7 linked regions of the Mus musculus genome follow. The protein of the gene in region 1 binds, or shares a complex with, the protein of each later gene. Links are inferred from orthologs where the notes say so. Each region holds a gene or a part of one and is shown in the gene's direction. Other genes may lie near its edges. The genes, in order: Smarcc1, Smarcd2, Actb, Dpf3, Pbrm1, Arid1b and Smarcd3.

What was found.
Region 2: Smarcc1 (region 1) and Smarcd2 share a complex: the UniProt entries of both Homo sapiens proteins name them as parts of the BAF complex. The link is inferred for Mus musculus from reciprocal best matches to the Homo sapiens genes SMARCC1 and SMARCD2.
Region 3: Smarcc1 (region 1) and Actb share a complex: the UniProt entries of both Homo sapiens proteins name them as parts of the BAF complex. The link is inferred for Mus musculus from reciprocal best matches to the Homo sapiens genes SMARCC1 and ACTB.
Region 4: Smarcc1 (region 1) and Dpf3 share a complex: the UniProt entries of both Homo sapiens proteins name them as parts of the BAF complex. The link is inferred for Mus musculus from reciprocal best matches to the Homo sapiens genes SMARCC1 and DPF3.
Region 5: Smarcc1 (region 1) and Pbrm1 share a complex: the UniProt entries of both Homo sapiens proteins name them as parts of the SWI/SNF-B (PBAF) chromatin remodeling complex. The link is inferred for Mus musculus from reciprocal best matches to the Homo sapiens genes SMARCC1 and PBRM1.
Region 6: Smarcc1 (region 1) and Arid1b share a complex: the UniProt entries of both Homo sapiens proteins name them as parts of the neuron-specific chromatin remodeling complex. The link is inferred for Mus musculus from reciprocal best matches to the Homo sapiens genes SMARCC1 and ARID1B.
Region 7: Smarcc1 (region 1) and Smarcd3 share a complex: the UniProt entries of both Homo sapiens proteins name them as parts of the BAF complex. The link is inferred for Mus musculus from reciprocal best matches to the Homo sapiens genes SMARCC1 and SMARCD3.

Annotation. Positions count from the first base shown.
Region 1 is NC_000075.6:110,233,024-110,236,523, forward strand, and holds part of Smarcc1 (SWI/SNF complex subunit SMARCC1), read left to right. Parts: intron 1-1,853; coding exon 1,854-2,030; intron 2,031-3,500. UniProt on the Homo sapiens protein: Involved in transcriptional activation and repression of select genes by chromatin remodeling (alteration of DNA-nucleosome topology).
Region 2 is NC_000077.6:106,266,473-106,269,972, reverse strand, and holds part of Smarcd2 (SWI/SNF-related matrix-associated actin-dependent regulator of chromatin subfamily D member 2), read left to right. Parts: intron 1-2,340; exon of another isoform or gene 2,341-2,379; coding exon of another isoform or gene 2,380-2,454; coding exon 2,455-2,639; intron 2,640-2,792; coding exon 2,793-2,835; intron 2,836-2,959; coding exon 2,960-3,082; intron 3,083-3,280; coding exon 3,281-3,436; intron 3,437-3,500. UniProt on the Homo sapiens protein: Involved in transcriptional activation and repression of select genes by chromatin remodeling (alteration of DNA-nucleosome topology).
Region 3 is NC_000071.6:142,903,955-142,908,181, reverse strand, and holds the start of Actb (actin, cytoplasmic 1), read left to right. Parts: upstream 1-1,427; 5' UTR 1,428-1,530; intron 1,531-2,489; 5' UTR 2,490-2,495; coding exon 2,496-2,618; intron 2,619-2,705; coding exon 2,706-2,945; intron 2,946-3,399; coding exon 3,400-3,838; intron 3,839-3,933; coding exon 3,934-4,115; intron 4,116-4,227. UniProt on the Homo sapiens protein: Actin is a highly conserved protein that polymerizes to produce filaments that form cross-linked networks in the cytoplasm of cells.
Region 4 is NC_000078.6:83,484,937-83,489,143, reverse strand, and holds the start of Dpf3 (zinc finger protein DPF3), read left to right. Parts: upstream 1-1,407; 5' UTR 1,408-1,435; coding exon 1,436-1,467; intron 1,468-4,207. UniProt on the Homo sapiens protein: Belongs to the neuron-specific chromatin remodeling complex (nBAF complex).
Region 5 is NC_000080.6:31,067,638-31,071,137, forward strand, and holds part of Pbrm1 (protein polybromo-1), read left to right. Parts: coding exon 1-327; intron 328-3,500. UniProt on the Homo sapiens protein: Involved in transcriptional activation and repression of select genes by chromatin remodeling (alteration of DNA-nucleosome topology). Required for the stability of the SWI/SNF chromatin remodeling complex SWI/SNF-B (PBAF).
Region 6 is NC_000083.6:4,993,788-4,997,894, forward strand, and holds the start of Arid1b (AT-rich interactive domain-containing protein 1B), read left to right. Parts: upstream 1-1,307; coding exon 1,308-2,705; intron 2,706-3,137; exon of another isoform or gene 3,138-4,107. UniProt on the Homo sapiens protein: Involved in transcriptional activation and repression of select genes by chromatin remodeling (alteration of DNA-nucleosome topology).
Region 7 is NC_000071.6:24,599,203-24,603,414, reverse strand, and holds the start of Smarcd3 (SWI/SNF-related matrix-associated actin-dependent regulator of chromatin subfamily D member 3), read left to right. Parts: upstream 1-1,412; 5' UTR 1,413-1,556; coding exon 1,557-1,634; intron 1,635-1,650; exon of another isoform or gene 1,651-2,279; intron 2,280-4,212. UniProt on the Homo sapiens protein: Involved in transcriptional activation and repression of select genes by chromatin remodeling (alteration of DNA-nucleosome topology).

The DNA of each region.
Region 1 (3,500 bases):
GATAAAGGGAGGTCGTGGTTACTCTTCTATACTTTGCCTGTTGGGTGGTCTCTCTTTTTTTTTTTTTTTTTTTGGTTTTTCCTGAGACAGGGTTTCTCTGTGTAGCCCTGGCTGTCCTGGCACTCACTCTGTAGACCAGGCTGGCCTCAAACTCAGAAATCCGCCTGCCTCTGCCTCCCGAGTGCTGGGATTAAAGGCGTTGCTACCACACCTGGCTGGGTGTTGTTCTCTTACCTCTTGGCTAAGTCTATGGATTCAGCAGACCTTACTTGAGAGTTGGTGTGAAACTGAACATGATAAATGATCCTATACAGTTTTTGTGTTCTATCATTACCTCATGATGGCTCTGTCTTTGTGACGATGAAGCTCATAGGCTCAGAAGAGTCCTCTTTCTAAGGCTCTGTCACAGCCATGCTTGATAGAAGAGTCAGCATGAAGATGGGTAAGGACTTTGTTACTCTAAAGCTGGTTTCCCTTTATCATGTGACCAGAAATGTTCCTCTCCTAGCTAGAGTTCTGTACTTTTGAGTCCAAACGTGAGCTTTCTACTTACATCTGTAACTGTTTGCATACTACAACAGCAAGTTGAATGCATGTAATGTCACTCAGTAGCAGAATCTAAGTACTTGCTGAGTCTTCAAAGACAAATATATCGGTGTGTAAGTAAATCAGACATTATTTGTTCTGTCTCCCATCATTAATGTAAGGACACTGAGAAGAGATGGAATTGTCTGTCATTTATCTTATTCTCCTACCTCAGCCCAACCCCATGTGTGGTTTTACCAGGCCAGTGCTTCATGGACTCCCTCAGGGATCCTCCAGGTCAGAGAAAGGCAGACCTTTGAAAGTCCTTTCTGATGTCTGGCCTGTGCCAGGCATTGGATGTGATGTGATATGTGATAAGCCACTGCTCATTTAGAGTAACCATAGTGAATCTGTTCTTTGCCTGATGCTTTCTCAGAACTGCTCCCATTTGTGCTTGTTTAACCAGCTTGCTTGCTTGCTTTTTGAGATGGACTCATGTATTTTAGATTGGTGTCAGACCCATTCTGTCTAGCCAGTGGTGACTTTGAAATCTTACTTCTACCTCCCAGATTCTAGGGTTCCAAGTATCCTAGGGTTCTAAGTATCCTAGGGTTCTAAGTATCCTAGGGTTCTAAGTATCCTAGGGTTCTAACCACAGCACTATTTGTGTGGTACTGGGGACTGATCTCACAACCTCTTGCCTTGAGGAAATATCTTTTACTTTTTTTTAAAGATTTATTTATTTATTTATTTATTATATGTGAGTACACTGTTGATATCTTCAGACACACCAGAAGAGGGCATCAGATCCCATTACAGATGGCTGTGAGACACCCTGTGGATGCTGGGAATTGAACTCAGGACCTCTAGAAGAGCAGTCAGCGCTCTTAACCGCTGAGCCATCTCTCCAGCCCAAGGGAAGCATTCTTACCAGTCGTAATTCATGATCTAGTTGAGCCATGGCCTCAGCCCTGTAATTCATTCTCAATAGTAACTACCTTTCCTATACTAAAGTTGAGAAGTCAGTCAGTGATCTTTCCTCAGTTAAGTGTTTCTTCTACAAAAAAATGAATAAAAGGCTGATCATCAGCCAGTGAGAAGGTGAGGGTGCTTGCCTCAAGTCTGGCTGTCCAAGTTCAGTCCTCAAAGCTCACACACTACCAGTTTTCCTCTAGCCTCCATACTTGTACCATGGTGTGTTTGTGCCCATACATCCACATGCTAAATAAGTCTTTATTTGTCTATGTTCTACAGTCTTGGACATTGAGTTGGTGCCTACCCACCCCCAGTGCATGAATACTTACAGTGCTTTAAATCTCTTTCCACAGGTCAAATACCAGGCCCTGGCTCCATGATGCCTGGCCAGCCCATGCCAGGTCGCATGATCCCCGCTGTGGCAGCCAACATTCACCCTACTGGGAGTGGCCCTACCCCTCCTGGTATGCCTCCAATGCCCGGAAACATCTTAGGACCCCGGGTACCCCTCACAGCACCAAACGGCATGTGTAAGTAGCACAGTGGGACGACATTACCCAGCATCCTGCTTTGGAAGCTACAGATAAGGAAGAAATGCTTTCTTCGTGAGATTAGCAAGCCCATAGACAGTCTAGCCTGCAACAGTGAGGTGTGGGAGATAACGTTTTGGTGTGAACACTCAGGTTGTGTACTCAGTACTGAGATCTGTGGGGAAGCCACTGATTCTGTCACTCATGATTAAACCTGACTAGTTTGAATCTCATCTGACATGCATAGTTCCTGGCTGTTCTTTCCCCTACAAGAACTTTTATGCTGTGGAATTAAAGGTGGTAAGTAGGGAAAAAGTGAAGTTCAACCAGACCTAGTCCAATTAAAGGGTACACTCCTTTAACCCCAGTGCTCAGGAGCAGAGGCGCTTGCCAGGCCGTCCTAGTGTACATATGGAGCTCCAGGTCAGCCGAGGCTACATAGTAAGAATCTTTAGGAGGGGGAGGGGGAGAGGAAAGAGAAAGAGAAAAGAAAGAAAAAATTGGTATAAAGACGGGAGTCAGCTCTTGTAGCTGTTCTTGATACTTAGGTAGTTCCTGCATTGACTTGAAATGAGGTGGTTTAGGAACTGCAGAGGAAGAATACCAGGTAAAGAGGTGCTGGCCACGGTCAGTAGCATCCCTCTGAGCTTGTGTTCGGAGCTCAGGTCATTTCCCCCTAAGCCTTACCTCTACCCCTACCCCAGCCCGAGCCCTGACCTCCACAGAGTTACATGAGAGGCTGTGATCTCCAGCTGGGTAGACATGCTCAGTGAGAAGGATCCAGCCATAAGCTGATTTCTTAAGAAGATCCTGTATGTGGCCAGAAATTAGCTCCTAGTCACAAAACAATAAATAACCAGAATCCTCTGCCTGCTGGGCTGAGATGACTCACAGCACTCAGGAGGCAGAGGCAGGCAGATCTCTGAGTTTGAGGCCAGCCAGTGCTACACAGAGAATCTCTGTCTCAGAAGAGAAAAAGAAAAAAGAAGAAAAAAAAACATAATCCTTGACTGCCTTCATGAGCTTTAATTAGGAGAATGGGTGAATGAAAAACCGTTGATAGGACTGTTCATCTCTTATTGATGAAATGTAACCAATAGCCTTAAGCACGGCTACTATGACTTCCTGCTATAATGGACTGAGTTCTAGAACAATGATCCAAAATACACTCACAAGTTGTCTTTTAACTTTAACACACGCTCTCGCACCAGCAAGCCATGTGCGTTTGCGCGCGCGCATGCGCGCGCACGCACACACACACACACACACACACACACACACACACACACACACACAAGCAACAGCTACAACAGGGAACTTCAAAATCCTTGGAATGCACTGTAATAGTCCAGGAGACTTCTTGCAGGGAAGGTGGCTTCATGCAGAGACGCATCTGAATCCCAGAGGCTGAGACAAAGTCCATACACAGAAGAATGTCTTACATTAACTGAATTTATAGAATCTGGCCCA
Region 2 (3,500 bases), on another chromosome or scaffold:
TCTTAGGTTCAGGCAGCTATCAGAAGGACCAGGGCTACAGATTTGGAGGAGAGCAGAGCATGTTTTGTTTTGTTTTGTTTTGTTTGTTTGTTTTTTTTATTTTTTTGTTTTTTGTTTTTTTTTGTTTTTGGTTTTTCGAGACAGGGTTTCTCTGTATAGCCCTGGCTGTCCTGGAACTCACTTTGTAGACCAGGCTGGCCTCGAACTCAGAAATCCGCCTGCCTCTGCTCCCGAGTGCTGGGATTAAAGGCGTGTACCACCATGCCCGGCAGAGCATGCTTACTTGAGCCCTACATTTTTTTTCTTTAAAAAAAAAAAAGATTTATTTATTTATTTATTTATTTATTTATTTATTTATTTATTTAATGTATATGAGTATGCTAGCTGTAGATGGTTGTGAGCCATTATGTAGTTGCTGGAACCCTACATTCTTAACCCAGAGATGGCAGAATCAGGCCTAGCCTACTAACCTTGTCTTGGTGGTTATAAAATCAAGCCTAGAATGTGGGGTTGGTGCTTGACCAAGTGGAAGTTACTGTATTCTGGTGTCCTGGGGATGTAAGCAGGCCTGCCTACCCCCATGGTGGAGCAGGCTGGCAGAGAGGCTGAGAATCTGTGGCGGTTGACTTTGTTTTGTTTCTAAGTAGGAGTTACTAGCTCTTCAAAGCCCAGGTGTAGAGCTTGACAAAGAGGAAACTAGGACTTGAATTGTGAGCAGCCTTCCCCTGAGGCTGTGGGTGAGCTAGGGGCCTGGAGCCTGAGCCCCAGAAGTCTAGAGCAGATGTCTGGGTGGGGCCTATCCCAGGCCTGCCTGGGCTGCCTTGCCTCAGGATTTCCTGGAGGGCTCAGCCGTACTACAGGTTTTATGAACCCCAGTGGAGAGCTTTTTGGGGGGAGGGCAGAGCACCGCAGATTATATCTGCAGTTACTCTAGGAAAACCTCAAGTCTGGAGTGATGATGGGGGTCTCAGGTTGTGGCCACCTGAGGTTTTTCTTCTGTCCCCTCCCCCCTTCTATAATCTCTTGCTCTGGCTTATTAGGGCAGAGAAACAGGCTGTCTTCTGCCTTTCAGCAGCATTGATGAATTTCTTCCTGATGAGGAGAGGCTGTGGCAGGACTCCCAAGGTCCCAGGGTCTCCCACTTTTAACTCCTCAGTTGCCACTGTCATCCTGCTCTGCTTCTGTCCCCTTTCCCTTGTCTCTGGGTCATGCGTCTGACTCCTTAATGCTAGATAAAGAAATTACAGGGACTCATCTCCAGGATGCTTGGGTGTGGGGGCTGGGGGGGGGGGTGTCTTTTAACTCAGTGTGAATCTCCACCCAGGCTGGCCCGGTTGTCTGGTTGTACTGATTGATTGCATAACCTGGGCCCCGGGGCCAGCCCTGTGAAGCTGCCAGGGACTGTGTGTGCAAGGCAGAGCTGCCAAACAGGCCTTTCAGGCAGCAGCTATGTGGATGAGCTGGGAGGTGGAGGGCTCCCAGGAAACGGCAGAAACCTGGGCCTTGGATGGGAAGTCAAGGCTGCTTGTGCCACCCAGACTGATGCTGCTGGTGACTCTGTATCCTTGCCTCCCAGGACCGTTGCATTCTGCGACTGGGGGTGGCACGGGTTAAGTTGAACCAGCAGCGGCCTGGCTGCCAGGTGGTGCAGAGACCATGGGCAGAGTCCAGATGTTTGCTGTTCCCATTCCCACAGGCCACCCAAGAACCATAATTTCTTTTTTTGAAAGTCTTTTGACATAGAGATAGGGGCATGGCAATAAGAAAGGAGGGGGAGGGTGGGGTGGGGGAGGGGACAATGGGTCCAGGTTGTGTTAGGGCCATAGGGACCATATGGTGACCAGATGGTGTCTGTACTCTCTTGAGGCCATCCCCACAAGTTGTGACATGGCCGAGCCATCCTATTGTACCTGCTCACCTGGGGTGCTGCGGCCTAATGGGCTTGCTATCCCTACTGCCTTTCTTCCCATCAGCCACCAGGCAGCAGACTTCACAGAGCCTCCTGGACTCCCCTGGGTTGCTATGCGTTGTCCTTGGTCTCCGGAGTAATGTTTTTCCTTCAGGATGGCGAAAGGAAGAAGGGGTCTCTAGTGGGCTATCTAAGGACTCTATAAATACCATGAAGCTGGCTGATCCCAGGGTGCAGGACATAGCATACTGGAGCTGGAAAGGTGTTGATTAGTACTAAAAAGTCCCTCAGGCCCTTCCTTCTGCAAGAGGTACACTCCTCCCCCTCCCACCCATGGACTCTGGCTGCCTCATTTGTTGGCAAGGCTGCCAGGGCGGTTGCAGGGGCGGGGCAGGTGTAGTTTACACGCTGGGCTCAGGCGCCTGTTCCCCTTTGTTCCTGGTCTCCCCATTTGAGAGAGAGAGAGAGAGATGGAGGGTATGGGCTATGGACCTCGGAGGGCTCCGCCACTGACCTGTGTCCCTCCACTGTTCCACTTTCCTCAGCGTCCTGGCATGTCACCAGGAAGCAGGATGCCCATGGCTGGCTTGCAGGTGGGACCTCCTGCCGGTTCCCCATTTGGCACAGCTGCTCCGCTCCGACCTGGCATGCCACCTACCATGATGGATCCATTCCGAAAACGCCTGCTTGTGCCTCAGGCCCAGCCCCCGATGCCTGCCCAGCGCCGAGGGTAAGCCTATTTCTCATACCTTGCCTATCTTGTCTTGGGTGTTAAGTTTCTCTATCTTGACCACAAGGAGGCTCTTGGCCATTTGGGAGAGGGTTTTGAAGATCGTGAGTTTGGACTGTTAACCTCTTAAATGGGTTTCTGTTTTCCTACTAGGTTAAAGAGGAGGAAGATGGCAGATAAGGTTCTACCTCAGCGAGTGAGTGTGTTGGGAGGCCTGCCCAGGTCTGGCTGGCCAGGGTGGGAGTCCTGGAGTGGAGAAGGAGGGGAGGATGGTAGAACTAGAGCTGGTAAAACAAGCCATCGGATTTCTCAACCTGCAGATCCGGGAGCTTGTCCCAGAGTCTCAGGCATACATGGATCTTTTAGCTTTCGAGAGGAAGCTGGACCAGACCATCGCTCGCAAGCGGATGGAGATTCAAGAGGCCATCAAGAAGCCTCTGACGGTATATACTACCCCAAGTTCTCCCAAACTGTTTTCCTTCCTGGACTTGTTCTCTAGGGATGAGCTTGGGCTTGAGCAGTACTCACACAGGGAGCTGTCCACCAGTAGAGCGCACACTCACTTTAGCGTGCTTTGAAATGGTGTCTTGCTACATATGGCTACTCACTCAGTCCTCCTGCCTCTTGTTCTTCCTTTTCAGCAAAAGCGAAAACTTCGGATCTATATTTCCAATACATTCAGCCCCAGCAAGGCGGATGGAGATAATGCGGGAACTGCGGGGACCCCTGGGGGAACCCCGGCAGCAGACAAGGTGGCCTCCTGGGAGCTTCGAGTAGAGGGGAAACTGCTGGATGATGTGAGTTGGAAGGGGAGAAGGCCTGTGTGAACTTAGACTGAGAACAGATGTGAGCGTTCTTTCA
Region 3 (4,227 bases), on another chromosome or scaffold:
GTGGGAAAGATAACTAGGGGTGTGTTTCCAGTTCACAGCATATGCTGGGGTGATGGTCACCTCTTCCAGACAAGGCCTCAGCAACTTCAAAATGCCCTGCCACCAGCCAAGAACAAGGAAGCTGGCCACTGTAGTCCATATATGGATGAAGCCTTCTTTGGTTTCAACACCTACACTTTGTGAGCCAGTGAACACCTACCTATGCATGCACTGAGGCACGGCAGGCCCAGAGCATCTCACCTGAAGCACCCTTCTTGCCTAAATCCAGCTTTCTGTCACACTCTCCCAGAAGGTGCGTGTCCTTCTAAGCTAAGCTGAGGGATCCGGCCCTCAACCCTGACCCCGTGTGTAGCTCTCAGCCAAATAGCTGGCTTGCTAAGTAGAACACTGGTACTTAGGTGAGGGGGACAGGGGCTGCTTCTCTCTGGAGGATTTGGGGCTCCGGTGACCACCAACTTTTCCCTGAGCAGCTTGTCACTCCCAGAATCCCCACGGCTGGCAGATGGACTAGTGCACAACTCAGCTGTGGCTGCACATAATAAATAGAGGATAGATGGTGGGCCCCAGCCCAGCGATGTCTGGCAGTCACCCAGAGACACTAGCTAACGGCCCAGGCTTAGTCTTGCCTGGGTGTGATCAGGCAGTTCTCCAAAAGTGCCTGACTCCATGAGAAGTTTTGTTTGTTCTATTGAGCACAGTTCCTTTCTAGATCCGGGGCAGGGGATATCTGGAGGCATCTTCTTGCAACACCTCCAGTTATTGGACCACTGGGGCTCGCCCTATGCTTGGGATAGGATGGCCTTGAGTCTCTAAGAGGTCAAGATCCATGAAAACCTCTCCAACCAGAGTTCTGCTTCCAAGTTGAACCCCAACACACCTAGCAAATTAGAACCACAGCAGAAGGGGCCCCCCCGGATCTGGCTTTCCGGCTATTGCTAGCAATTGCTAGCAAGGGGGAGTGACTCTCTGTCCATTCAATCCAGGCCCCGCGTGTCCCTCAAACAAGAGGCCACACAAATAGGGTCCGGGCCTCGATGCTGACCCTCATCCACTTAAGTGCTCGATATCCACGTGACATCCACACCCAGAGGGTCCTGGGGTGGTTGGGTGACCCCCAGAATGCAGGCCTAGTAACCGAGACATTGAATGGGGCAGTGTCCACAAGGGCGGAGGCTATTCCTGTACATCTGGGCCTACGGAGCCAGCACCCATCGCCAAAACTCTTCATCCTCTTCCTCAATCTCGCTTTCTCTCTCGCTTTTTTTTTTTTTCTTCTTCTTTTTTTTTTTTTTTTTCAAAAGGAGGGGAGAGGGGGTAAAAAAATGCTGCACTGTGCGGCGAGGCCGGTGAGTGAGCGACGCGGAGCCAATCAGCGCCCGCCGTTCCGAAAGTTGCCTTTTATGGCTCGAGTGGCCGCTGTGGCGTCCTATAAAACCCGGCGGCGCAACGCGCAGCCACTGTCGAGTCGCGTCCACCCGCGAGCACAGCTTCTTTGCAGCTCCTTCGTTGCCGGTCCACACCCGCCACCAGGTAAGCAGGGACGCCGGGCCCAGCGGGCCTTCGCTCTCTCGTGGCTAGTACCTCACTGCAGGGTCCTGAGGATCACTCAGAACGGACACCATGGGCGGGTGGAGGGTGGTGCCGGGCCGCGGAGCGGACACTGGCACAGCCAACTTTACGCCTAGCGTGTAGACTCTTTGCAGCCACATTCCCGCGGTGTAGACACTCGTGGGCCCGCTCCCGCTCGGTGCGTGGGGCTTGGGGACACACTAGGGTCGCGGTGTGGGCATTTGATGAGCCGGTGCGGCTTGCGGGTGTTAAAAGCCGTATTAGGTCCATCTTGAGAGTACACAGTATTGGGAACCAGACGCTACGATCACGCCTCAATGGCCTCTGGGTCTTTGTCCAAACCGGTTTGCCTATTCGGCTTGCCGGGCGGGCGGGCGGGCGGGCGGGCGCGGCAGGGCCGGCTCGGCCGGGTGGGGGCTGGGATGCCACTGCGCGTGCGCTCTCTATCACTGGGCATCGAGGCGCGTGTGCGCTAGGGAGGGAGCTCTTCCTCTCCCCCTCTTCCTAGTTAGCTGCGCGTGCGTATTGAGGCTGGGAGCGCGGCTGCCCGGGGTTGGGCGAGGGCGGGGCCGTTGTCCGGAAGGGGCGGGGTCACAGTGGCACGGGCGCCTTGTTTGCGCTTCCTGCTGGGTGTGGTCGCCTCCCGCGCGCGCACAAGCCGCCCGTCGGCGCAGTGTAGGCGGAGCTTGCGCCCGTTTGGGGAGGGGGCGGAGGTCTGGCTTCCTGCCCTAGGTCCGCCTCCGGGCCAGCGTTTGCCTTTTATGGTAATAATGCGGCCGGTCTGCGCTTCCTTTGTCCCCTGAGCTTGGGCGCGCGCCCCCTGGCGGCTCGAGCCCGCGGCTTGCCGGAAGTGGGCAGGGCGGCAGCGGCTGCTCTTGGCGGCCCCGAGGTGACTATAGCCTTCTTTTGTGTCTTGATAGTTCGCCATGGATGACGATATCGCTGCGCTGGTCGTCGACAACGGCTCCGGCATGTGCAAAGCCGGCTTCGCGGGCGACGATGCTCCCCGGGCTGTATTCCCCTCCATCGTGGGCCGCCCTAGGCACCAGGTAAGTGACCTGTTACTTTGGGAGTGGCAAGCCTGGGGTTTTCTTGGGGATCGATGCCGGTGCTAAGAAGGCTGTTCCCTTCCACAGGGTGTGATGGTGGGAATGGGTCAGAAGGACTCCTATGTGGGTGACGAGGCCCAGAGCAAGAGAGGTATCCTGACCCTGAAGTACCCCATTGAACATGGCATTGTTACCAACTGGGACGACATGGAGAAGATCTGGCACCACACCTTCTACAATGAGCTGCGTGTGGCCCCTGAGGAGCACCCTGTGCTGCTCACCGAGGCCCCCCTGAACCCTAAGGCCAACCGTGAAAAGATGACCCAGGTCAGTATCCCGGGTAACCCTTCTCTTTGGCCAGCTTCTCAGCCACGCCCTTTCTCAATTGTCTTTCTTCTGCCGTTCTCCCATAGGACTCCCTTCTATGAGCTGAGTCTCCCTTGGATCTTTGCAGTTTCTGCTCTTTCCCAGACGAGGTCTTTTTTTCTCTCAATTGCCTTTCTGACTAGGTGTTTAAACCCTACAGTGCTGTGGGTTTAGGTACTAACAATGGCTCGTGTGACAAAGCTAATGAGGCTGGTGATAAGTGGCCTTGGAGTGTGTATTGAGTAGATGCACAGTAGGTCTAAGTGGAGCCCCTGTCCTGAGACTCCCAGCACACTGAACTTAGCTGTGTTCTTGCACTCCTTGCATGTCTCAGATCTATCCATACAGTTTCACCTGCCCTGAGTGTTTCTTGTGGCTTTCTGAACTTGACAACATTATTTATTTTTCTCTACAGATCATGTTTGAGACCTTCAACACCCCAGCCATGTACGTAGCCATCCAGGCTGTGCTGTCCCTGTATGCCTCTGGTCGTACCACAGGCATTGTGATGGACTCCGGAGACGGGGTCACCCACACTGTGCCCATCTACGAGGGCTATGCTCTCCCTCACGCCATCCTGCGTCTGGACCTGGCTGGCCGGGACCTGACAGACTACCTCATGAAGATCCTGACCGAGCGTGGCTACAGCTTCACCACCACAGCTGAGAGGGAAATCGTGCGTGACATCAAAGAGAAGCTGTGCTATGTTGCTCTAGACTTCGAGCAGGAGATGGCCACTGCCGCATCCTCTTCCTCCCTGGAGAAGAGCTATGAGCTGCCTGACGGCCAGGTCATCACTATTGGCAACGAGCGGTTCCGATGCCCTGAGGCTCTTTTCCAGCCTTCCTTCTTGGGTAAGTTGTAGCCTAGTCCTTTCTCCATCTAAAGGTGACAAAACTCCTGAGGCCATAGTACAAGTTAAGTCTGATTTCTGTCACTCTTCTCTTAGGTATGGAATCCTGTGGCATCCATGAAACTACATTCAATTCCATCATGAAGTGTGACGTTGACATCCGTAAAGACCTCTATGCCAACACAGTGCTGTCTGGTGGTACCACCATGTACCCAGGCATTGCTGACAGGATGCAGAAGGAGATTACTGCTCTGGCTCCTAGCACCATGAAGATCAAGGTAAGCTAAGCATCCTTAGCTTGGTGAGGGTGGGCCCTGTGGTTGTCAGAGCAACCTTCTAGGTTTAAGGGGAATCCCAGCACCCAGAGAGCTCACCATTCACCATCTTGTC
Region 4 (4,207 bases), on another chromosome or scaffold:
ACCCTACTAGGCAAACAAAGAGTTAAATATTTCCAGTCTGCACGCACAGACTCACTCAGCTTTGCTGGGCTTATCTGTAACTCTAATAGTGAATGGAGCTGGAATCTGAAAGTTCTGGACTGCTTTGTAATTGTATTTTACTTTATTCATCGAGAGTCGTAAAAGGCGAGAGCAGGTGGAATTGTGAACTGCAATTCAGCATCTCTCGGTTTCCTTTTCACTTCCCAGCCCCCAGCTATTTGACCTGATTAAACAGCCAAGGGGGCCATAGCCCGGCTTCTATAAGCTAACGATGCCTGTGCCCTCTAAGTGATTTCATGAGTTTTCGCCCACTCCGAGTCTCCCTGTGCTCCGTGGAAGTCTGAGTTCGCAGAAGTCTCTCAGTTTCTTCTGGGGTTTATCAGATTCTGAGCAGCCGCATACTGGGGAAGCCAGGAGTCACGTCTGAACATTCACTTGCAAATTCTTTTCACCTCCTATCTTAGTCCAGAAAGGTGACGCCTGAATTCTCAGAGCCGTTCCCAGAGGGGACTCAGGCAACACCTACCTCAGGCTCTAACAATTTTTGCATAGTTACTGACTTCCCTAGCTGCGTTTCCTAAAGTTGCCTCAAAATTTCCCCAACCTTCTGCCTAAAAAGCGCCAGGTCTCACTTCGCTCCCAAGCTGGCCATGTCAGATCAGTGTGAATCGTTGACAGTGGAGAACGGTGGTCGTAGGGGACCGCGCGGAGTGACCACCCGTGAATTACGTAACAAAAGCCGTGGCTGTCCGCAAGCCTGACACTGAGACATTCCAGGAGGAAGGGAGTTGCTGTCCTGGACTCTCCAGTTCTCAGAAACCGCCCGGGGAAGGTGGCTGAGATCAAGAAAACACTTCGGGAACAAGAATATTGAACAGCCGCGGAACCCAGAACATTATTAGCAAACAGTGGAACACGAGTAGTAATTTCTTGGAGGAAACTGCAGCCTTCCAACTTTTTGCACTGCAACACGGTGGTGTACAAGGAGCTCGGGGGTTAAAAACCGTGATTTACAAAGCCCAGAGCTAATGAATGGGGTTAAGTGGTTTTGTTGGCACTATGTAAATATTCTTGTCCAGGAGCGCAAACTCTGCAGTTATTTAGCAAAGTAGGGACTCCAACTAAGCGAGAATGCTCTCCCATGTTGTCTCCACGAGTTCCAATCTAAAAGGGCGCTACTAACACGGTACTGCCCCTTTAAGACCTGCTCGCTCTCGGGCTCTACAAAAGGGAGTGACCTCTGGGCTTTGACAGCTCCCCTAATAACTACCACCACGCAGGCCCCGCCCACTTGGCGACCAGCCGCGCCGATTGGCCGGTAGGCCGGTATCCCGTGCTCTGATTGGCCTGCCGCTTCCCCTGAGCGAACCTTTAGAACTCTGAGACAGACAATATTCTGTTACATTGTAGCAAAATGGCGACTGTCATTCACAACCCCCTGAAAGCGTAAGTAAGACTAAAAAATGTACATATTCCGCGTGGTTTCAATATGAAAAAAAGGCGCCTTGTGGAGCGCAGCCGGCGCCCGGCTCTCGCAGACACCTCCCGCTGCGCCCGGGCTCCTCTTTTCTTCCTGCTCTTACTTCTTCATCTTTTTTTTTCCTCCCAGCGCGCAGAAATGTCAGGAGATGCAATTAACAAAAAGAAAATTGTTACATTTGTGTTCTGCTTAATTGGCTGACCGGGACCGGGAGGGAACACAGAGCGGCGGCGCCGGCTCAGGAGCTGCGGGGGTCGTGAGCAGCCCGGGTCTTCACGGTTCTCGGAGTCCCCTGCCTCTCCCGGCGCCGCGCGGAGCTGGCTGAGGCTGGCCAGAGCGCGGGGTTGGCTGAGCCTGGCCGGAGCGCGGGGCAGAGACCGCGTCGTGCGCTCGGCTGAGCCCTGCACTCCAAGCCCGAACCTTCCCGGCCCCGCTGCTCGTCCACCCAGGCGGGCAGACGGACCGCAGCGGCTGCGGAGTTTTGCAGGGCGTTCGCTCTGCCTTCCGAGCTCTCGCAGGGAGTTTGTGTAAACCTTCCGGAGTTGGGAGGACAGCGCGCGGAGCGGCGGGTCCCGGGAGTCCTGGGGCCCAGGTGCTTGCCCCGGGCTTTTCCACTCCGGCAGCCGGGGATCAGGCAGGCGCTCCGGGCGGTCGCCGGTGTGTCTGTGTATTTGTAGGCTAACTGGCTCTAGTAAATTAACGATCCGGGTTAACTTGGGGTTGATATGGAGGCAGGGAAACTGCAGGTCTTATAAATGGTGTGCTTGCCTGCTCTGGGTGAAAAGCCGAGGCGGTGGAGGCGGCGGTGGAGGGCTCTGGCGACAGCGAGGGGCAGGTGCCTCCCGGAGACTTTGAGCGGACACAGGGGGGCGGGCTGCGCAAGGACTCGCGGGGGCCGGTTCCCGATCGGAGCTGCCTGCCCGCCGGTCTTCCTTCCTTCCTTCCTTCCTTCCTTCCTTCCTTCCTTCCTTCCTTCTTCCAGTCGGTGGACTGAATATGAAGCCGCAAGTCCGCGGGTGATCGCGGAGCCGGGGGTGGCCTCGGAAAACTAGTGTGGCTCTCAAGGGGCGCTATTGGCAGGCATGTTGGCAGAGGGTGGATCCTTGGGAATCGCGGCGCGGCGTGGGCACCCAGTGGGTGCCCGGTGTACTAGGACTTCCCCGCCCTGATGAAAGCCAGTGGGAGTCGGAGGGTGAGCGTGGGTGTTTAGTGCCAATTCTTCCCGGTGTGTGTCAGTGGTCGATCTTGGCTCTTTTAGCTGCGCGCTACAGCGTCCCTGGCTATGGGAGTCGAAAACACCGTTCGCTTTGGGGAGCAGCAGGGCGGCGGCGAGAGAGTGTGCGTGGGATTCCTAGTGCCAAGAAACCCGTAGGGAGAACCCGCTGCGTTTGCACCAGCCAACAACCAGGAATAGGGCAGGGATGTCCCAGATCTTGGAGTTTCCATGAGATATTGCTGTAAAGACGGAGGCTGAGCTTGATGCGAGTTCCTGGCTCCCGTTCTCGTTCGGAAGCTCAGCTACTTTGCACTCGCGACAGCGTCTCACCGAAGAGAGAAATTGTTTTATGGCAGAAGAAATGGGCGTAACTTCCCCGCTCCTCGCCGACTCCCGCCGCCACACCGCTGGGGCTGGGAGTTTCTCCAGAACCCACACACAGCTGATTTGCAATTTCCTCATTTCCAGCCGAAATCACGTAGCCGAGCTGATGCTGCTTGGTAAACTCAAGTCGGAGAGATCTATTTGCTATGTGTACAGGGTTCTTCATTGGCAAAGCGGCATCCTTGATGCCCGGGAGCGGGCTTACGCTCGGGCGCGCGCAGGAGCTCCACACTCCTGGGTCCCCCAGATCTTTCCACTTTTTTTTTTTTTTTCCACAGAAGAGTGCATGTATAAGAAATTGTGGGGGAGAAGGAACAGAGAAGCTAGAAGGTGGCCAATCAGTTAATAGAACTAGTTCAGATTTACACTTGTATCCCTTAATAATTGGAAATACTTGCCGTGGGATGCATTTGTAACTCCGTCTTGGCTCACGCACGCGGACGCTCACACAACACCCCTGTCTGCCTTTCCTCAGAGGAAGTCGAATGGTCACTTATAATTAGCCGCCCCCTTTTGCATCCAGTCCTCTTCCCCTGAGGGCTAAGGGTGTAAATAATAACCCCAATCGGTCAAGCTATTTGCACCCTGGACATTTTAAAAACTCCGCACGCAGGAGCACACACATCGTTACCGGGAGACTGAGGCCATCTGCTTTATTATTATTATTATAAAAACAACTTGTTTAATAAAACATCTTATACATGCCATTTGTTTCTAGAAGTTGCTGATCAGGAAACAAAACACACGTGAATAAATTATGCATGGGCCAAATTAGAACAAAGCATAGCAACCCAGCAAGCTGAAGGGATGGATGGGGGGGGGGCAGGGAGGAGGAGGAGTGAGGAGAATGGCTTGGAGAGCTTATGTGTTTATCCTTGTGTGCCCCTCCTGACAATGAACCGGAGCTCCAAACTGCATTAGCATTTTCTCCGGGTGCAAGCAGTCTTTCTCGTCTTAAAAAGGCAACATCACGGACGCCCCCTACAGAAGAAACTGGTCACACAAAGATTTCCTCTTGGGCCTGGGGATAAGCAGCAGTAGTTACGGTGTTGGGAAGAAGCCAGCTCGGGTTTCTTTCATGCCACCCTGTGTAGGGCTATGCCTTA
Region 5 (3,500 bases), on another chromosome or scaffold:
AGATGCCCTTGTACTGCATAAAGTCCTCCTTGAGACTCGGAGAGACCTGGAGGGAGATGAGGATTCTCATGTCCCTAATGTGACGTTGCTGATTCAAGAGCTCATCCATAACCTTTTTGTGTCAGTCATGAGTCATCAGGATGACGAAGGGAGGTGTTACAGCGACTCCTTAGCAGAAATTCCTGCTGTGGATCCCAACTCTCCCAATAAACCTCCCCTTACATTTGACATTATCAGGAAAAATGTTGAAAGTAATCGGTATCGGCGACTTGATTTATTTCAGGAGCATATGTTTGAAGTATTGGAACGGGCAAGAAGGATGAACCGGTATGTTTTCAAACCCATCTCTTTATGATAAATACATGTGATTTTTAATGCAAAACAGATGAGAGAGTTATGCTTTGATAAACTTTCTGCTTAGGTACATGGTTATAGTAGGTAGCCTTCCTCTTTTTTTTCTTCAAAATATTTATTTATTATTATACATAAGTACACTGTTGCTGTCTTCAGACACACCAGAAGAGGGCGTCAGATCTCATTACAGATGGTTGTGAACCACCATGTTGTTGCTGGGATTTGATCTCAGGACCTTTAAAAGAGCAGTCAGTGCTCTTACCTTCTGAGCTATCTCACCAGCCTGTAGATAGCCTTCTATCCTGAATTCTTGGTAGGCAAAACATATGCTCCCCCCACCCCTTTTACAGTGTTGGAGGGGTCAAAACTTATAAAGAGGGAGTTGAACGGTGGTCACCTTTAACCCCATCATTCAGGAGGCAGAGGCAGATAGATCTCTTGAGTTCAAGGACAGCCTGGTCTACAGAGCAAGTTCCAGGACAGCCAAGACCACACAGAGAAACTGTCTACAAAAAACAAACAACAACAACAACAAACTTGTAAAGAGCACTACTGAGTTGTCATCATAAGTGCCGGTGAGAGGGGCAGGACTGAAGCTCTTGCATAATGCAGAAACCTAAAATGCAGCCTTTCGCAGAAGATGTCTTTTAAAGGATCAATAATACAGTCTGTAATAAAACTAAAAGTAGGATTTTTTTTTTCTTTGAAAATTAGTCTTAAGAATGTTTTAAATGAATTAGAGAGCTTGGAGTTATTCTTTGAGGATAGACTGGTCTAAATCCATTCACTTTTTTAAAAACTTGCTTATTTTTATTTTATGTGTACTGAGATGGTGTGCCTGTATGTATGTCTATGCAGCACATATATCCAGTGCCCACAGTGGCCAGAAAAGGGAGTTAGTTTCTTTGGGACTAGAGTTACAGATGGTTGTTACCCACCATGTGGGTGCAGTAAATTGAACCTGGGTCCTCTGGAAGAACACCAGTGCTCCTTCTCAGCCCCCTCAATCTCTATTTCAGTTACTTAATAAGGCCTTTTGTTTTTTTATCTCATTTATCAATTTAAGAGCATAGTGTAGGACTATAAATGGTTTAAAAGAATAAATTTAATTTACTAAAATTCCTTCAGCTTTTTAGCCTGCGTATCTTTGGCACTTACTGGAAGAATACCCAGTGTAATCCAGCAATCGCAGTATAAGTTCTATATGCTCTTACAGGCACTTGGTTAAATTGAACTTACAGATAGTAAATCCTGCCCTCTTCTGAAGTACTGAGAGCTAGAACTTTAGACTGTTTAATTGCATCTAGGAGATCTTTGCTCTAGACCGTGAAGGAAAAGTAAATATTAATGATTGCTTTTCCTAGTGACAACTTTTGTAAAATATCATGGTAAAGCCCTTCGTGAAGATCATCTCTAAGTCATCTGTACTTGTCTATGGGACTGATAATCTTTTCAGTTTTTATTTGAAGAATTGGAGATGTGCAAGCAATAAAATTCATAATCTAACATCTAGTAGGTGATATGCCTTGGCTTGTTTCCCACTGAGAGCACTGCTGCTGATAGTTACCAGTTATGGAACACAGACATGAATGATAAGCATTGTTGAGCTCTATATTAAAGAGCTTGAAATCTCATGGTTAGACTGATACTTAAGGAAATGTGAAGTAGCCTATTAAAACCCAACATGATCACTTTCAACATGATCATGTAAGAAACTTTGTGGGCCAGAGTTTACCTAAAAAGGCACAAAGTATCATAAAAGAGTTGGAAGATGAATAGAGAGGCTGATACTCTGCATATGATAAATGGTATAAAGAAAGTGAGCCAGGCGTGGTGGCGCATGCCTCCAATCCCAGCACTTGGCAGGCAAATTTCTGAGTTCAAGGCCAGCCTGGTCTACAGAGTAAGTTCTAGGACAGCCAGGGCTACACAGAGAAACCCTGTCACAAAAAAAAAAAAAAAAACCACAAAAGAAAGGGAAAGGTTAGGGTGTAAATATGCTGTGTTTCAGAGTTTGAGGTGGATCCTTGATTAGCATGTTTAGGAAATGGTTCCTTGTGAAGAACTAGGGATAGAAATAAAGAGGAGAGTGGAGGCATCTTACAGTCAAATTCTATACGAGGTTTCATTCAAGAAATTTTTGTTGGGTGTTGATACTAGTTGATGAACATGCTCTAGTTCATGGGATGTAGCAGTACTTTAATAATGAAATTTAAGCTGGGCGGTGGTGGCACACGCCTTTAATCCCAGCACTCGGGAGGCAGAGGCAGGCAGATTCCTGAGTTCGAGGACAGCCAGGGCTATAAAGAGAAACCCTGTCTCGAAAAACCAAAAATAATAATAATAATAATAATGAAATGTAAATGCCACTCCTGTGGTTCACAGTTGCTTGAGTCCAGTGAATCTTCTAAAGAGCACATGTCTCATAGATTATGGGGAACTCTGTTAAGAAGTACACAGATTGATTTTTTTACGAAATAAGATCTTTTTATTCTCCCATTATTGATATGATAGGCTTTTGCTTTTGAGGGCTGGAAGATACAACCCATGACACATATAGAAACAGAAATCCTTATAGTTTATCTCATGCCCTGAGTTCTGTTGAGAAACGGAACAGGGGCCTGGAGCATGGCTCAGCAATTAAGAGGGCTAGTTACTCTTCCCAGAGGTCTGTGTACACCAGCACTCACATGCTGGTTCCTCCCCATCTGTAACTCCATTCTGACGGCACCTGACACCCTCTTCTGGCCTCCATAGGCACTAGGCATGTAAGTGATACAAAGATATATGTACAGGGAAAACACCCATAAACCTCAATTTTTTAAATGTTTAAGAAAGATAACAAAAGCCATTTTAATTTTTGTAAATGAAAATAGTATTGGGACTTCTTGTGGCATAAGAATCAATAAAAAGAGCTAGATGTTTAGTGTGTAAAGTTCTTGCCATGCAAGACCTGAGTTTAGATCCCTGGCACCCATATAAAAGCCAAGCATGCTGGACAGGCTTGTAGCTGCAGTGCTCGAGATGGAGGTAGCTGAGTGTTGACAACGGAAGACCCCAGGAACCAGTCAAGCCAGTCAGTACAAGACCCTGTCTCAGGAAATAGAATAGGAAGTAGGAGACACCTGACCTTGACCTCTGATCTC
Region 6 (4,107 bases), on another chromosome or scaffold:
GCTGCTTAACCTTCACTTAAGTCTTTCATAATTTCTCAGTTGGATGAAGTTGTGGGAATTAAGCCGATGGCCTGAAATTCAGGCGCAGAGGCCAAGGTTGTGAAAAATTACATAACTCCTGAGAGAGACCGAGTGCTTTTGCCCGGCCTGCCTGAGTGTTTCTCTTCTCCACCGGCTCCTCGCCACCTCTGAGGCCCAACAGACAACTTTGCTTCCCAGCCCCTTCTCCCTCTTTTGTCTGCTCTTCAGACTCGTTTTCCACCTTCGTACCGCTCCCTTTAGACGTGAAAACAAACACAGGGCCGCGCGCGGGTTGGCAGGGAGACCGGAGGCACGAGGGGACCGAGCAGCTTCGGGCCCCGAGCGCCGGCAGCCGGTTCCCCCCCCCCTCCCCTCGCTCCCCCGGGCCGGGCCCTCCGCGCCAGGCCGGGCGAGACCAGCCGGGTGAGCGGGGCGAGCTGGCGGGCGAACGTGCGCTCAGCGGCGGCGCCCGGGGCCGAGTCCAGTCCGCGTTTTGCGAGTGCGCAGCAGCCCTCGGAGAGAAGCGGATAATAGTTGCTCCGGCTCGCTCGGCTCCCTCACGCCGCGCTGGGCCCGATTAGGCTCAGGCAAGTCGTGCATTTCCCCCCCCCCCCCATATCCGGGTTAGAGAGGGGGGAAAAAGAGAGAGAGAGAGAGCGAGCGAGAGTGAGGGAGGGAGAGAGAAAAGTTTCATTGCAAGCGGAACTAAAAAACTTTCCGCCCGTTCAGGCCGTAGCGGGCGCGAGCCCCCGAGCGCAAAGGCGCGCCCCCGGCGGGCGGCCCGGGGCTGCGGGGGGTGGGGTGGGGAGGGCACCGCGCTTCCCCGCGGGCCGCGTGGATGCGCGCAGGAGGGGCGGCCGGCTGCGAGTGGGGACATTGTCTCCCCCCACCCCGCCCGGCCGCGCCACGCCGCGGCGATCATGGCCGCGCGGGCAGCAGCGGCGGCGCGGGCGCGGGCGGGCAGCGGCGAGCGGCGGGCGCCCTCGGGGCCGCGGCCGGCGCCCGGGGCCCGGGACCTGGAGACGGGCGCGCGCGGCGCGGTGGCGGCTCCGGGCCCCATCCTGGGGGGCGGCGACGGCGGCCTGAATAATGTGCACCACCACCCCCTGCACCCCCGTCACGACCTGAACATGGCCCATAGCGCGAGCGCCGCGGCGGCCGCCAGCTCCAACAGCGCGCAGAGCGGCCGCTCCGAGGCGGCTCTCAAGGAGGGTGGAAGCGCCGCCGCGCTGTCCTCCTCCGCCGCCGTCGCGGCCTCTTCCTCCTCGGCGGGCCCCGGCTCGACCATGGAGACCGGGCTGCTCCCCAACCACAAACTGAAAGCCGTTGGCGAGGCCCCCGCTGCACCGCCCCATCAGCAGCACCACCACCACCATGCCCACCACCACCACCACCACCATGCCCACCACCTCCACCACCTCCACCACCACCACGCACTACAGCAGCAGCTAAACCAGTTCCAGCAGCCGCAGCCGCCGCAGCCACAGCAGCAGCAGCCGCCGCCACCGCCGCAGCAGCAGCATCCCACTGCCAACAACAGCCTGGGCGGTGCGGGCGGCGGCGCGCCTCAGCCCGGCCCGGACATGGAGCAGCCGCAACATGGAGGCGCCAAGGACAGTGTCGCGGGCAATCAGGCTGACCCGCAGGGCCAGCCTCTGCTGAGCAAACCGGGCGACGAGGACGACGCGCCGCCCAAGATGGGGGAGCCGGCGGGCAGCCGCTATGAGCACCCGGGCCTGGGCGCGCAGCAGCAGCCCGCGCCGGTCGCCGTGCCCGGGGGCGGCGGCGGCCCAGCGGCCGTCTCGGAGTTTAATAATTACTATGGCAGCGCTGCCCCTGCTAGCGGCGGCCCCGGCGGCCGCGCTGGGCCTTGCTTTGATCAACATGGCGGACAACAAAGCCCCGGGATGGGGATGATGCACTCCGCCTCTGCCGCCGCCGGGGCCCCCAGCAGCATGGACCCCCTGCAGAACTCCCACGAAGGGTACCCCAACAGCCAGTACAACCATTATCCGGGCTACAGCCGGCCCGGCGCGGGCGGCGGCGGCGGCGGCGGCGGAGGAGGAGGAGGCAGCGGAGGAGGTGGAGGAGGAGGAGGAGCAGGAGGAGCAGGAGGAGCAGCGGCAGCGGCAGCAGGAGCCGGAGCTGTGGCGGCGGCGGCCGCGGCGGCGGCGGCAGCAGCAGCAGCAGCAGGAGGAGGCGGTGGCGGCGGCTATGGGAGCTCGTCCTCGGGGTACGGGGTGCTGAGCTCCCCGCGGCAGCAGGGCGGCGGCATGATGATGGGCCCCGGGGGCGGCGGGGCCGCGAGCCTCAGCAAGGCGGCCGCCGGCGCGGCGGCGGCGGCGGGGGGCTTCCAGCGCTTCGCCGGCCAGAACCAGCACCCGTCGGGGGCTACACCGACCCTCAACCAGCTGCTCACCTCACCCAGCCCCATGATGAGGAGCTACGGCGGTAGCTACCCCGACTACAGCAGCTCCAGCGCGCCGCCGCCGCCGTCGCAGCCCCAGTCCCAGGCGGCGGCGGGGGCGGCGGCGGGTGGCCAGCAGGCGGCCGCGGGCATGGGCTTGGGCAAGGACCTAGGCGCCCAGTACGCCGCTGCCAGCCCGGCCTGGGCGGCCGCGCAACAAAGGAGTCACCCGGCGATGAGCCCCGGCACCCCCGGACCGACCATGGGCAGATCCCAGGTAACCCCCGCGCCCGGCCGGGCCTGCTTCCGCCCGGGCCTCGCGCCGCGAGCCCGACTTTCTTTCTTCGCCGGGTACTTTTCCCGGCGGTTGGCGGGGGTGGCGGGGGCGCGGCGCCGCCGGGCCGGGGCCGGAGCTGGCGGGGCTGGGGAGCCGGGGTGTCCCGCGCCCTTGCTGCGCGCTGCGCTCCCGTGCCAGGCCCGGGACGGGACCTCGGTGCCCCAGGCCGCGCCCGCCCGGGGAGGGCTCTCGGGGCAGCGGGCTCCGGGGCCCGGCTTGACTCCGCCGGCGCCCACGGTGTGCCCTGAGTGGGCGCGGGGAGAGAGGAACTTTCTCTCTTCGGGCCTCGGTCGGTTTCCCATTCCCCTTGCGAGGAGGAGGCAGGGGGAAAAAAAAAACCAAAAAAAAAAAAAAAAAAAAACCCAAAAACCGAGGTTAGCTTTGTGACAGCCGTGGCTGGTGGAGTTTGGATGTTTACCAGCAAGAATAAGACCCAGATTTACAACGGGCGGAGGCGAAATATTGTAAAATAACATCGATTCGTTCCTAAGAATAGCTGGGGAGAGATCCATTATGGGGCTAAGGGCTCCTTGGAAGGAGTCACCTTCAACCGGGAGGCGATGTTGAAGGAATAGATTCCGGATCGATGGAACTTATTTTGATCATGGGTTAGGTTTTCCTTTTTTATTCAGCAAACCTAGTAAGGTAGTAGGCCAGAGAAAATGGGTCGTTGTGGATCGTATTTGAGTGGATTTTCTTGATTTTGCTGTCTCCCAAGTCCAACAGCGTTGTTAGGAAGTGTCTTGCGCTCTGGCTGTTTCTTGCTAGTAGGCTGAGCCTAAAGACTGACTTGATCTCTCCTTTGCAAGGTTTGGAATTTGAATTGTGGAGGTAAACTGGCTGTAATAGTCTCCAGACAGCTGCCTCTGAGTTGACATCTAATCTGCCATCTGATTGGCTCCCCTCTCACCATTGGGCATTTAGCACTGCTGATGTAAATAGAAGTGCGGAGCAGTACAGTCACAAAAATTCCTGACACAAATAATAACTGAACTCTATTCCAAGCACATGGAAGATTGAATACTATTTAGAGCTTAAATTGTTATGAATCATAGTTAGTAATAAAGGATTGAATACAGAGAAACATGCTGTTGTCCAGTATTAGGCATTTATAAAACTTGGGTCTTCGATGACAAATCTTACAATATGAACATTACATTTATTGTGGGCTTTAATTGTGGACTGAAAATAGGAGCATTGGGAAATAATTAATGCAAAGATTGGACCAGTTTGGGCTTCGTCAAGCTTTTTTATAAAAGTCTGCTTTTTACAGATCTAATTGAATATATTTTAATCCTACCAGTTTACAGTTTAATGCATTAAGATTTCAGTATTCTGAAAT
Region 7 (4,212 bases), on another chromosome or scaffold:
AATAGACTGGGAGAGCATTCCTCTGCTCCTTATCCTGACCCATGAAGACATTCTGAAGGGCCAAAGGTTAGGGTCCCTCGGTGCAATGGGTCTTGAGGGCTCAAATTGTATGTGTTCCCACAAGTTCCCTCAGGCATTGTCCCTCTCTCAGCGGCAGCCCCAGCTAGCCCATAAACCTGACCCTTGATTGTCCTGAAACCCGCGGACTCCTCCTTCAGAAGGTGGGGACAGGCGTGGCTTGTGGAATGGGCGGAGCTTGGGCTCAACCTAGGGATCTCAGGATTTGTCCCCTCCTTTCTGTTCTTCCTCCCCTCCAGGGATGGCCAGTTCTATCCACACTGTCCCATTTAGGGTTTCCTCGTCTTCCTACCCCACACTCCTGCTTTCTCTTCGGTTCTGGGGCGGACTTCACCAATCCCGAGCTCTCTGGGTCTCCGCGCCAAAGCCATCAAGCCCTGCTTGCCTCACCCTTTCCTCCTACCCACCCAAGTACCCACCCTGGATCCGCGCCATTCCTCACAATGTACTCCTCCTGTTCTCATGAGTCCAGTCCATGTCCCCTTTTCGGAAATATTTCCCCTATTGCCCTCACTTTCTCGCACAGAGACAAACAAAGACTCACAAGCCCAGAAATAGACTCCAACAGAGCTGAAAGACACAGGCCGTGTCCTGCCCCGCACGCACGCGCGCAGGCTCGGCGGCTCTTGTGAAGGGAAGCACACAGACTGGGCGTTTGTCAGTGCACGCACATAAACATCCACACCCACAGCCTCTGCGCCGTGCCACAAAAGGGTGCAGACACACGGTGTGCGAGACAAGGGCACACACATCTGCGGGCGCCCGGGAGCCCGCCTAGCCCGGCACACCCACCGCGCTGGCCCTGGGACAGGAGCAAGGCCTGCTTCGGGCTCGGGTTCCCCCCCAGATTCCTTCCAGCAAATGTTTCCCTACTTGGCCTGCCTGGTCCCAGGGGAAAGGGCCTCAGAAATGCTGCAGGAGCCACTTGGGGGAAAAAAGTTGGAACTGTCTGTTCCCTGCCTGGCCATGTCGGCGAATTCCCTAACCGAGAAACTATTTGTGGCGAGGGCAGAGTGGCTGGCGAGCCCCTTGTCACCTCCCGTGGTGTTCCCTCCCCGAGCCGCCACCGATGGGCCCCGGGCGGCCTGGGCGCAGCGCAGCTGCCCATCGCGCAGCCTCCGGGCAGATCGGCTCGTCTCGCCGCTTCTGTGCGCCGCTTGGACCACGCGGAGTGCACAGGAGGGCCGCTCCGTCCCCGGCGCGTCGCAGGCAGACCCCGGGCCGCCGGACTATTTCTGTCTTATCAGTGCAGGAATGCGGCAGCCGCGGCGGCGGCGGCGGCGGGCGGGCGGCGGCGGCGGCGTGGGCCGTGGGCCGTCAGGGCAGCCCTGAAGGGGCCCCCTCCCCACTCCGCTCGAGTAGAAGTGTGAGAGAGCCCAGCAGGACTCAGAGGGGAGAGTTGGAGGAAAAAAAAGGCAGAAAAGGGAAAGAAAGAGGAAGAGAGAGAGAGAGTGAGAGGAGCCGCTGAGCCCACCCCGATGGCCGCGGACGAAGTTGCCGGAGGGGCGCGCAAAGCCACGAAAAGCAAACTTTTTGAGTTTCTGGTCCATGGGGTGGTGAGTGGGGGAAAGTTAGCGGGGGAGGGTGAGCGAGCTGGCTCGGGCTGAATGGAGGGATGATCGGGAGGGGCCGCCGGCGCGCTCCGGCTCTCCCACCCCTTTGGTTGAGGGGCGCACGGTCACGGCCCAACCCTGGGACCTTGCGGGCGCCCTGGCATCCGAACACGTCGCCAAGCGGTCGGCTGGGGATGGGCGCGCGGCGGCCGGGAAGAGAGGCGTCGGCTTGGGTTCTTCTCAGGGGCAAGGGGTGGGATGTGGGCACCGTGCCTCCCCCAAGAGGGGGGTCCCCTCTGTAACTGACATGTCTCACATTCTTTTACTGGTGGGCTCAGGTGTTACCCCTGCCCTGGGGGTGGGGGTGGGGTGGTGACTCGAACACACAGCTAGGGCAGGGCTGCCTGTTGTCCCTGTTCATCCTTTGGGACAGGGTCACTCCGACTAGGTCTGAGCAGCTAGGAGCAGGTGACCTAAGAGCAAAAGCTCTCTGCTGAACAACCTCTGCATCCTAGCAGGAGGGCCTTGAGGACTTGGCCCTGCTGTCAGAGCTGAGAAGGGTCTACTTGTGAGACCTCAAGTTAAGCAGTCAGAAGATCTCCTTGGCAGGCTCAGCCACCAGAAGTTGATGACCTTAACACCTCAAAGGTGTGAAGGAGGGGCAGGAGTTGGGGACATGAGGCCTAGAAACCAAAGGGATAGTACTATACCGTTCTAACACACACACACACACACACTCACACACTCACGAAGACATGTGAGGAGTCTGAGGGTACCCAGGAACCTATTGAGGTGGAGAGCCTGCTGTGAGGAGCTCTAAGCCTGGGCATATGGAGGGAAGAGTCAGTCATATTTACTATGGCCAAATTTGGTTGTGACTCCAGGAAGCACCATTTCAGTGAGAGGCAAGGGCCCCCAGAATCTGACCCTTATGAGGCTGTTACTGATGGCAGGCTCCTGGGGGCCCCTAGAAGCCTTCTTCTCAGGGCCTCATTAGACCCAACAGTATCAGTGGCCTTGATGAATAGGAGAGTGGCTGATAGGGAAGAGGGCTTCTCTGTGGCAGCCTGTTCTCTAGCCATAGGGATCTCTGGGGTATAAATTCCAAGGCAGCCCTATGGGTTAGTGGAGTTACCAATCCTGACCTAGCTGCTTAAGAGTAGTTGCTTTAAAGACTACCATCCAGTGAAGAGGCTCTGCATATGGAATTGAATGTGGTCAACTTGGTAGTTCGGTTCTTGGATGATTAGAGTCCCCTCTATAGTGATGGAGAATGGCTAGGCTTGAGCTTCCACGCTGGTGACATTGGTGCTGTGAGTGACAGAGTCAGGTGGAATGGGGGAGGCAAGTTCAGGGACAGGCCTGTTTGACTATAGAAGAGATGGGCAGAGACAGCTGCTTGGCTCTGGGTGGAGACCTCAGAGGTAAGCAATGTAAGAGGAGAAAGGAAGCCCAGGGTTAGGGTTAGGGCTTCTTAATCCAGGGGGCAAGATGAGAAGGGTGTGTGTGTGCATGGCCTTCTGTAGCCCAGGCTGGCCTCAAATTCACTATATATCAGAGGGTGGTCTTGATTTTCTGCCTTCACCTCAAGATTAGGATTATAAGTATGTGCTATCATGCCAGGCGGTGGTGGCGCACGCCTTTAATCCCAGCACTCGGGAGGCAGAGGCAGGTGGATTTCTGAGTTCAAGGCCAGCCTGGTCTACAGAGTGAGTTCCAGGACAGCCAGGGCTACACAGAGAAACCCTGTCTCAAAAAAAAAAAAAAAAAAAAAAGTATGTGCTATCATGTGCAGTTTATTTGATGCTGGGGATCGAACCCAGAGCACCACATGTATTGCACAAGCCCTTAACCAAGCTACATCCCTAGCCTGAGATGGTAGTGTTTAAATAATAGGGGTTTCATTCCCCTCTCCCTAATACCCTTCCTGGTCTAGGTCCCCAAGCCTCAGCCCCCTTCCTGGGCTTGGACAAGTGAAATCTGAAACACTCCACTTGCATTCACATCTCATCTCTTTTGATTGACTGCCCAGAGCTGGTGGCCAGAGAAAATCAACCTGCCTCATTTCCCTCCAATTTCTACCCTTTCTGGGATATTGTGAGGAATAGGTTGTCTCTGATGTGGGCAGATGGGAGGGGGAAATGGATACTGCTACAGATGCTGCTTCCTTCACATCCCTGCACTGGCAGTCCACTTCTAGTCCCGTTCCCCACTTGCCACTCAAGAAAACCTGGCAGAGTTTGATGACACCAGACCCGCAGGTCCCCTTGCCCAGTCTCTTGTATCATCTTGGGAGAAATAAAATTAAAGAGGCAGGTTAAGTCAGTGGGTGTGGAGACCTGGAGTTAGCTGTACCAGTTATGTTTGAGATTGAGGTGCCAAAAGCAGGGGGCTCCGAAATGGAGATAGGGGCTCAAGTACAAAACACATCAGACCCAGAAGTGGGGTGTGGAAATGGAGAATGAGGGCAGGAGATCAGCCCCTCCCTCACCGCAGCGAAGCAGCGGGGAGCAGGGCCCGCCAGGTGCTGCCTTTGCCAGGAAGAGCAGGGTGACCTTGGTGAGGTCGCTGTTTTCTTTGA